Rattus norvegicus: one gene and its partner. The protein of the gene in region 2 binds, or shares a complex with, the protein of the main gene of each other region. Links are inferred from orthologs where the notes say so. Each region holds a gene or a part of one and is shown on either strand. Other genes may lie near its edges.

The links.
Region 1: the proteins of Ncoa5 (region 2) and Esr2 are in contact, whole or in part, in a crystal structure (PDB 4ZI1), measured with the Homo sapiens proteins. The link is inferred for Rattus norvegicus from reciprocal best matches to the Homo sapiens genes NCOA5 and ESR2. Residues at the interface, in NP_066018.1 of Homo sapiens: Ser344, Leu345, Ile346, Leu348, Leu349, Ala350, Asp351; in NP_001428.1 of Homo sapiens: Ile310, Lys314, Phe319, Leu324, Gln327, Val328, Leu331, Glu332, Leu490, Glu493, Met494.

The regions. Positions count from the first base shown.
Region 1 is NC_086024.1:100,641,692-100,646,267, reverse strand, and holds the start of Esr2 (estrogen receptor beta), read left to right. Parts: upstream 1-1,558; 5' UTR 1,559-1,879; intron 1,880-4,576.
Region 2 is NC_086021.1:174,161,202-174,165,012, forward strand, and holds part of Ncoa5 (nuclear receptor coactivator 5), read right to left. Parts: intron 3,463-3,811; coding exon 3,336-3,462; intron 1-3,335. UniProt on the Homo sapiens protein: Nuclear receptor coregulator that can have both coactivator and corepressor functions.

The DNA of each region.
Region 1 (4,576 bases), on a different chromosome or scaffold from region 2:
CTGTCCACTCTACCTTTCCTAACCCTCAAGGATGACATTTTACCTTATAAATGGGGAAGAGTACAGGACTCTTAGCTTAACTGAAACGTGCACATAAGACGATGGGGGCAGTGAGGCTTTCGGCAGCCTTTGCTCATAGTTTTTAAAGTAGGTTCTTTTCCACATGTGTAGTCTGTGGTGCCTACCTGTGGGACTCATAAACCCAGGCCTCAGGAAGGTCCCCAAAGGCATTTTGGTTACACCTGAAATGTTGAGGTTGGCGTTGTACAAGTTTCCCTCCAAATACCCCTTGGTTTTCTTCTATTACATTTCCATCCATCAAGAAACACATTCCGGGCCTGAAGAGACAGCTCTGCTGTTAAGATAGCAAGCTGCTCTTGCATAGAAGCTGAGTTCTGCCCCAGCACCCATGCCCAGGAGGGAATCCCACACCTATATTCTCCGTGGGCATCTGCACGCGTGCCCTCAAGCCCACGTGTGCATAATTTAAAAGATAAAAAGTAGATCTTTGGGGCTGGAGAGATGGCTCAGAGGTTAAGAGCACTGGCTGCTCTTCCAGAGATTCTGAGTTCAAATCCCAGCAACCACATGGTGGCTTGCAACCATCTGTAATGGGATCCGGTGCCCTCTTCTGGTGTGTCTGAAGACAGCTACAGTGTACTCATTAAATAAATCTTTAAAAAAAAAAAAAGTAGATCTTTGAAACCCTTCATAAACGCCCCATGATGTGTGCGGATGGCCTGACCACTAATTAGGTACACGAGTGACACCAGGTCGGCCTACAGGTCATTTGTTTTCCTTTTAACTTTTGCCACCACAGACTGCCTTAAAGCCAATTGTTTCTTAAAAAAAAACAAAAAAAACAAAAAAAACAAAAAACTAAGGCGTGATCCCCTGCCTTTGTAGAGTAGGGTCACTTCCAGGTTAACGCTGTGGAGCTGGGAGGATCCGAGCTGCCATCAGGGGGCGCCAGAGACCCTTTGGGACAAGGAAGAGAGGAGCCCTGTAAAAGCGCAGGCAGATTTTTTCCAGGTGAATTCCCTCGTTGTTTTTTTTTCTCTCCACTTCCATCGCCAGCCGCTGGTAGACACGCATTCAAACCTCCGCCTCCAGCCCTTGCCTTTCTGGGGCTCAAGCTAACACTCCCTGGAAAGGGATCTGATTTCATTACTCCGTTATTACTGCTTATTTCGGTGCTATTACCAGAACCCGGGGCCTGGCCCATGCTTCTTAAGGAGAGTTGTCAGACCTAAGCATTTAATGACACGCGCGTGGGTCAAAGTATGGAAACAAGATGAAGTGTGGTCCCTGGACGCACGCAGTCAAGTCCAGAATTCCTGGGGATCTGGTCAGAAATTCCCATTCCCGGGCTCCATCTCGGTTCTCCATCGTCAGTCTCTTGGAAGGGGGGTGTCCCTAGTGGATGACTGTGAAGAGGCTGGAGGTCGACATCCAGTGGATCCGGTTGCGCGGCGCGGGAGTGCCTGAAATCTCCGGCTCCGGGTTTGTGGTCACGTGAACTTTTTAGCTACCCTCCCACACTCTTTTCTAGGTCTTTAAAAGACGCACTAACATCCGTTAGTCGTGGGTAATCTTTGCAGCTTCTCCAGCTGCTGGCCTTTTTGAAACGCACTCTCAGGTCCCTGCCTTCAGCGAGGCTTCTAGAATCAGCCACCTCTTGAAACTTCTTGGTGGGGAGCTGGCCCAGGGGGAGCGGCTGGTGCTGCCACTGGCATCCCTAGGCACCCAGGTCTGCAATAAAGTCTGGCAGCCACTGCATGGCTGAGCGACAACCAGTGGCTGGGAGTCCGGCTCTGTGGCTGAGGAAAGCACCTGTCTGCATTTAGAGAATGCAAAATAGAGAATGTTTACCTGCCAGGTAAGTGTCCCTTTGCTCATTGTGAGGCTTAATTGAATTTGTGGGAGGCCAGCAGAGTTTAGAACAATAAAGCGGCTGGGGCTGGGGGATAGATGCAACTCTACTGAACACTACCGGAAACGGAAATTTTATTGACTTTTGGATTTTTGGTTTTTTGTTTTTTGCTTTTTTTTGTATGAACATAATTGTCCTTTTAAAGGAAGAAAATTCCTGTGATTTTCCTAGCAGTGGATAAGATGATGAATCTTCTTCCTTGAGTATTGTGGACCTGGGAAGCTGTGTCTATCTTAGGCAGGTGATCCTGGCTTGAATCCTTAGTCGTGTCAGAAATGGAGTTTGACTTCTTCCCTGGATAGTCAGAGAGAGAGAGAGAGAGAGAGAGAGAGAGAGAGAGAGAGAGAGAGAGAGAGAGAGAGAGAGAGAGAGAGAGAGAGAGACTTCTCTTATATGCCGGAGAGGAATCTAACTGTTGCTTCTTCCAGATTATTTGTGGTGACTATTTCATAGTGGAAGGAGGAAATCAGGTCAAGTGAATACTGTTGGTTTTGTGTGTGTGTGTGTGTGTGTGTGTAAAACAAAACTATGAATCTGAGCTCTATTAAGAAAGCAAGCCTGGTGATTTTACTTAGGATTTAGAAGGCAGGTTTCTGTTTGGCACATAGTACCCTGGAGGAAAGATTTTTATGTCTTGTTCTATTTCAAGTGTTTTTGTGAGCATTCCACTTGAAATTTCATTGTTCCTGTGGTGATCCGGCTCACGGTGGATATTTCCTCTCTCTCCGTGTAAATGTTATTTAAAGAGTGAAAGGAGAGATTAGAAAGTGGATATATATTGACAACAAGGAGGATGTAATAGGGAGCTTCACTTTCCAGGACAAGGCTCTACCTGTCCTCAACCTGCCGGTCTTGACCCCCTTGAGAACCCTTGACCTTCAAAGACATTTACATTGCGATTCATAACAGTAGCAAAACTACAGTTATGAAGTGGCAACAAAACTAATTTTGTGGTTGGAGGTCACAATAACGGGATGGATTGTGTTAAAGGGATTGCCCCAGTAGGAAGGCTGAGACCCACTGCTCTCCAGACATTCTATCTGAAGTAAACGATGAGGGTTTATCAGTAAGTGATAAAGCAGGAATTTTAGGTTTCCATTTTATGTTCATAGTTGTCTAGATGAATCTGAAACTTTTATGTAAAGAGCAGTTTTAAAGGCAACCCTTTAAGTCTTGCTCAAGATATATAAATGTTTGAAATTAACAAAAAGCAGGTAGAAGACAATTTCAAGGTGGGTCTGAGGAACCCAAATGGATCTAGTCAGATTTGATATCTCTCAGAATTTACTTTTAATATAAAAAATGTGAAATTTAGTACTAAATTCAACATATCAAATATATAAACTAGCACTTAATGGGCTCCTTCTAAAGGCAAAAGCACTGTCTTATTTAATGTGTATTAAACAGGCAACGACTTAAAATATATTTCATTTTTCAAAAAAAATACATTTCATTTTAAAATTTTAGCTGATGTTTTGAGTCATTTTATGGAATGATTAGAAAGTGGTTATATAAAATCCTGAGGAATAAATTCCAATCATTTCTAGGTAAGTTGTTTCAATTATGTATGCAAAGCCCTTGAAGCTTGACCCTTTGGTTATTAGACTTCATAATTCAGGATTTATTTAGTACATTGTAATAGAAATTTGAAAAAGTGATCCGTATTGCAGTATTGTTTACAGACAGTTTGCCTTTAAGCTTTTAAAAGAAAGACCACTGAAAGATTCATGATAGAGAAGAGTCAGCCTTTTCTCATTTTCCGAAGATACACATTCAGTTTTAACGAGTTGCCTATAAGTTCCTTATTAGTGGTCAATTTTATGGTTGTTTTAGGGTAAGTTTTCTTTGTTCCTATCATGAAATTGATTGAGGGCCTTAATACTTTTCTTCGGAAAAGGCACGTGCAAAGGTAATAACTGCTAAGCAGAAGCACGCAGGAAGAATGTGTGAGGCTTAAGAGGTGTCTCCAAGGGGCGGGGGATGTTGGCCACTTGGTATGGTCTTTCTAGCTAGCACAAAGCCCTGACCTCTAGCCACAGAACCACATGAATCAATCATGGTGGTCCTTGCCTATAATCCTAGAGCTCAAAATATGGAAGCAGGAAGATCAGGAGTTTAAGGATGGCCTTGGCTACATAGCAATTTTTATGCCAGCCTGGACTGCATGAGACCTTGCCTTAGAAAAGGAAAGAGGAAGAAGAGAAATGTCTTTATACATATTTTTCGTGTCCATGGAATTCTCTCTGGTGTGTGTGGGCGTGGGTTTTTACTTTGATGGGGAGCACAGGTGTGGGATGTGTGGAGGGGGTGCTTTGTGGAGGGGGATGGGCAGCTGGAAGAAGAATGGAGCTGGCCTGTGGAAGCTGTCCTCGTCTGCAGGCCCAAGATCTGGTCCTCACAGGAGGTGGTAACTTCTCTGCACACGCAGAGCAGGCAAGGTGCTAATAGCCCAGCTGTCCAGACTGCTTGAGGTGATGGATTTCTGCCAAACAGAAGTTTTAAAAAAGGAAAATTCAGAAGCAAAAGCCCTCACAATCAGAAAGCATTTTACTTTAAATTGTCTAGGAATCCTGACCATCTTGAGAGGTGTGCCCAGTGGCACGTCAGTGGGCCGGCTTCAACCTCTTCACAGTACAATGAGAC
Region 2 (3,811 bases):
CAGGCACTGTGTGTCCGTAACTGTTGAGCTCCCTCTGGTTCTTCTGCCAGTTTAATGAACAAAACGTTCTAAGCATGTTTTGACCAAATTCTTTCTGATAGCTTTCCAAATTTTGCTTTGATGCAACATTTCATAGGAAATACTTAAAAGAAGGAGCTCCTTGGAATCCACAATGGTGCTCCTGTGCTATTGAGGAGCTGCTGACGTGTGGTTGTGTAGCCCACTGTTATCCCCAATTGCTGGTGAATCCTAAGGAGAGGATACCCTGCATCACTAGGATTTCTGCCCCAAAGAAGCTTTGATTTTATCAAACTCTTCTCTGTGTTTTGGTTTTCTGAGACAAGGGTTCTCTGGATGGACAGACTTCATTTACCAGTGTACTTCTCCATCGTCCTTTTCTTCTGCCTCTTCAATGGAACCAGCGTTGTGCATTATGGGTCCTAGTAGACCGTCTTCCTCCTTCTTTCTCTTCCTTATCCTTCAGCCACATCACCACCAATGCTCATACTCCTTTCTTCATGAAGAGAGTAATGGGATGGGCCAAAAACTAAATCTACTTCAATCTACTCACAACCTTATTTGTCTTTTCCTCTAAGCACCCAGGTTCAGTCTTTCTGAGGCAGTAGAACCTTTGTCCTGGGACCCATAGGTTCCCTGTCAGTCCTATATGCCAACTAGACTTAGTGGCCATATTGTTCATCAGTATCATGTTTGATGACTGAATAAAAACCAACAGCAAACTAGGCAATCCTACACCTACACTAGCCTGCATGACCGCTCTGGTCCTAGACCTGGAATAAAGCCAAGGAGTCTGATGAAGGAAATGAGTGCGGATCCTTCCTAGGGTCTAGTTTATCAGGTTAACCTTCCATAACTGATTTTGCCCAGAGCATCTGATGAATTTGTTTGAATAAACAGTATTAATGATCAATGACATTAACTGGGCAGTTTCTACCTAGAAGGTCAAAGTCTCACCCTCTCTCTTCTCCATCAGTAGGGCTTCCTTAGTCATACCGCCCACACATACTACACAGGCTCTGCACTGTAGCAGCCCTGGCATTCTGGAATGGGTGTATGTGTCTCAAGACATGATCTCACCATGTAGCCCAGGCTCCCCCTAAACCTGAAGTAATTCTCCTCCCCTCTGAAGTGCTGAGACTATAGGTCTCACCACAACTGGTTGACACCTTTCTTTTGATTCTCTAGTCCAATACCTGCCGCTCTCTAGGACCTGCTGTACTCTTCAACCCTTGAGGAGGCTGTACGGGAACACAATGTGCTTTGATGGTAAATATGTGAGTTAGGATTCCAGTTCCAGCATTTACTTGTAAAGCTGTTGTGCTCTGAATGCTTGGCCCACGGGAAGTGGCACTATTTGGAGGTGTGGCCTTGTTGGTGGAAGTGTGTCACTGTGGAAGTGAACTTGCTCCTGGCTGCGTTCAGATCAAGATGTAGAACTCTCAGCTCCTCCAGCACCAAGTCTGCCTAGATGCTGCCATGCTCCCACCATGGACTGAGCCTCTGAACCTGTAAGCCAGCCCCAATGAAATGTTGTCCTTTGTAAGACCTGCCTGAGTCAGAAGTGAGGCTCCGAGTAAGTCTTTTAACTCTTAGCAAACTCAGTTGTTTTCTCAGAGCCAGTAGCACAGGAACATGACTTAGATCCTGTCATTTGATTCTGCCTCCAATTTAAGTTAAACCTCTGGTCCTTCCCCTCACAGAACTCATTGTCTATGTATTTTTGTCACCTTCCTCACCAGTCTGAGATCTGCTTATTACTACTGCAGTCTCAGTACCTAGCCATTCTCTCTCACGCACACATGCAGACTCTTACCCTAATTACAGAGGAGGTTACAAATTGTTTATGTAAAGCACCCAGTGGGCCGTATGGGGTAGGTGCTTAGAAAATGATGACTACTTATTTAGCATCTTGAAAAGGTAAGGCAGCCCAAAGCCTTTGAACTCTTGTCTGCTAGCTGCTATCTTAACAGATTTCCTAGTCACTGCACTTTTGAAATGAGCATCTGTAACAGTAGATGGCTAGAAAACATAAGGATTTCCTAACTCCATGAGAACCAGAACCCAGCTCTAGCCAACTGTGAACACTTAACAGAGAGCTGTTAGGACCCTGACTTGGTTAATGTGGTCACTTAACAGGTCCTACAGGATTCAAGGTGGTTGCTGTGGAAGTGGGTGGGGTTTTCTTGACTCGAGTACACTTCCACTCTTATTCTCAGTTCCCATGGTTCTGCAAGGCTAACTTCACCTCTAAACCCAGCCCTTGTAAATCACAGTATTCTGGGCCCCAGTCCAAAGCGACACCTCAGGGTTGGGAGTTATGATAAGCTAGCTTAGTCTCAGGAAGAATCTAAGACGTCCAGTAGAGCCCTGGAAGGGATGGCGAGAGACGGCCTACTTGCTGAGTAAGTAGGAAGACACAAGTGTGGACGGTAGCACCACATAAAAGCTGGGTAGGATGGAGTGCATCTGTAATTCCAGAGACAGAGCGGAGGAGAACTGTGGTGTTTTACAGTTGATAACTTAGCAGAGTAACAGTAGTTCTAGGTTTAAAAAGAGGCCCTTTCTTTTTTCTTTTTTGAGTTTTTGAGAGTTTCTCTGTATAGCCCTGGCTGTCTTTGCTGTCTTGGAGCTCACTTTGTAGATCAGGCTGTCCTTGAACTCAGAGATCTGCCTGTCTCTGCCTCCTGTTTACTAGGATTAAAGGTGTGTGTCACCCCTGCCTGGCTGAGAAGTCCTTTCTCAACAGAACAAGGCAAGAAAGAGAGCCTATGCTGTCATTTGGCTTTTGTAACACCATACACTTATGTGCACGCACATGCGCGCGCGCACACACACACACACACACACACACACACACACACAGAGAGAGACAGACAGACAGACAGAGAGAGAGAGAGAGAGAGAGAGAAAGAGAGAGAGAACACAAATATGAATATATCAGGAAGAGAAGCCTCATCTTTAGTAGGTTTGCTAAGCTAAGAAGATACATGTCTAAAGTCATTGCCACTCTGACTCTTCAAGTAGAAAACATGGTCAGAAACAGGGCATAAGCAAGGAACGCATGAAGGAGAAACTGACAGGGAACATGTTTTGCTCACAGTTAGACTTTAGAGGAGGCCATGTTTGAACTTCCCATTTAAGCAAACTTTTTAGTTTGTTTTCAACCCCTTTATGTTGGGTTTTTTGTCATTGAGTGAAAAAACTCTTAATTCAAGCTCAGGTAATAAGAGAGTAAGCCAGCAAGGTCAGGGAGTGGAGCTGCTAAGCACTGACCCCTTTTCCACACCAAGAAGAAACAAGCACAGGCTTCTTACTTCGTCTGTTTGTTGACCACGATAACAGAGCAATCCACAGGCCTCTCAGCATCAAAGCGCCGCTGGATCTCCTCAAAATACCGACGATAAAGCTCCTCTCTACGTCGTTCCTCACGTTTCAAACGCTCTGCAAGACACCAGCAGGGGAGGCTTAAGTGAGGGTTGTCCTTCCGTAATGCAGCGAGACATTCTGAGTCAATCTTAAACATTTCTACCATTCTCTACTATCTTAAATTCATCAAGCTAAAACCTTGGGTGACAGGTCACAGCCACTGTGATGCTTTATATAACCCTACTACTAAACCGACCAAGAAGGAAGCTAGCTATTTATGGTTTAAAAAGGTGGATCAGCCAGGCCGGGGACTCATGCCTGTATTTCCAGCACTTGGAAGACTGAGGCCAGAGGACTGCTGAGTTCAAGGTCTGCCTAGCTTACACGGGTGACCTCAGATCAGCAAGGGCTACTCTTGTTTTTT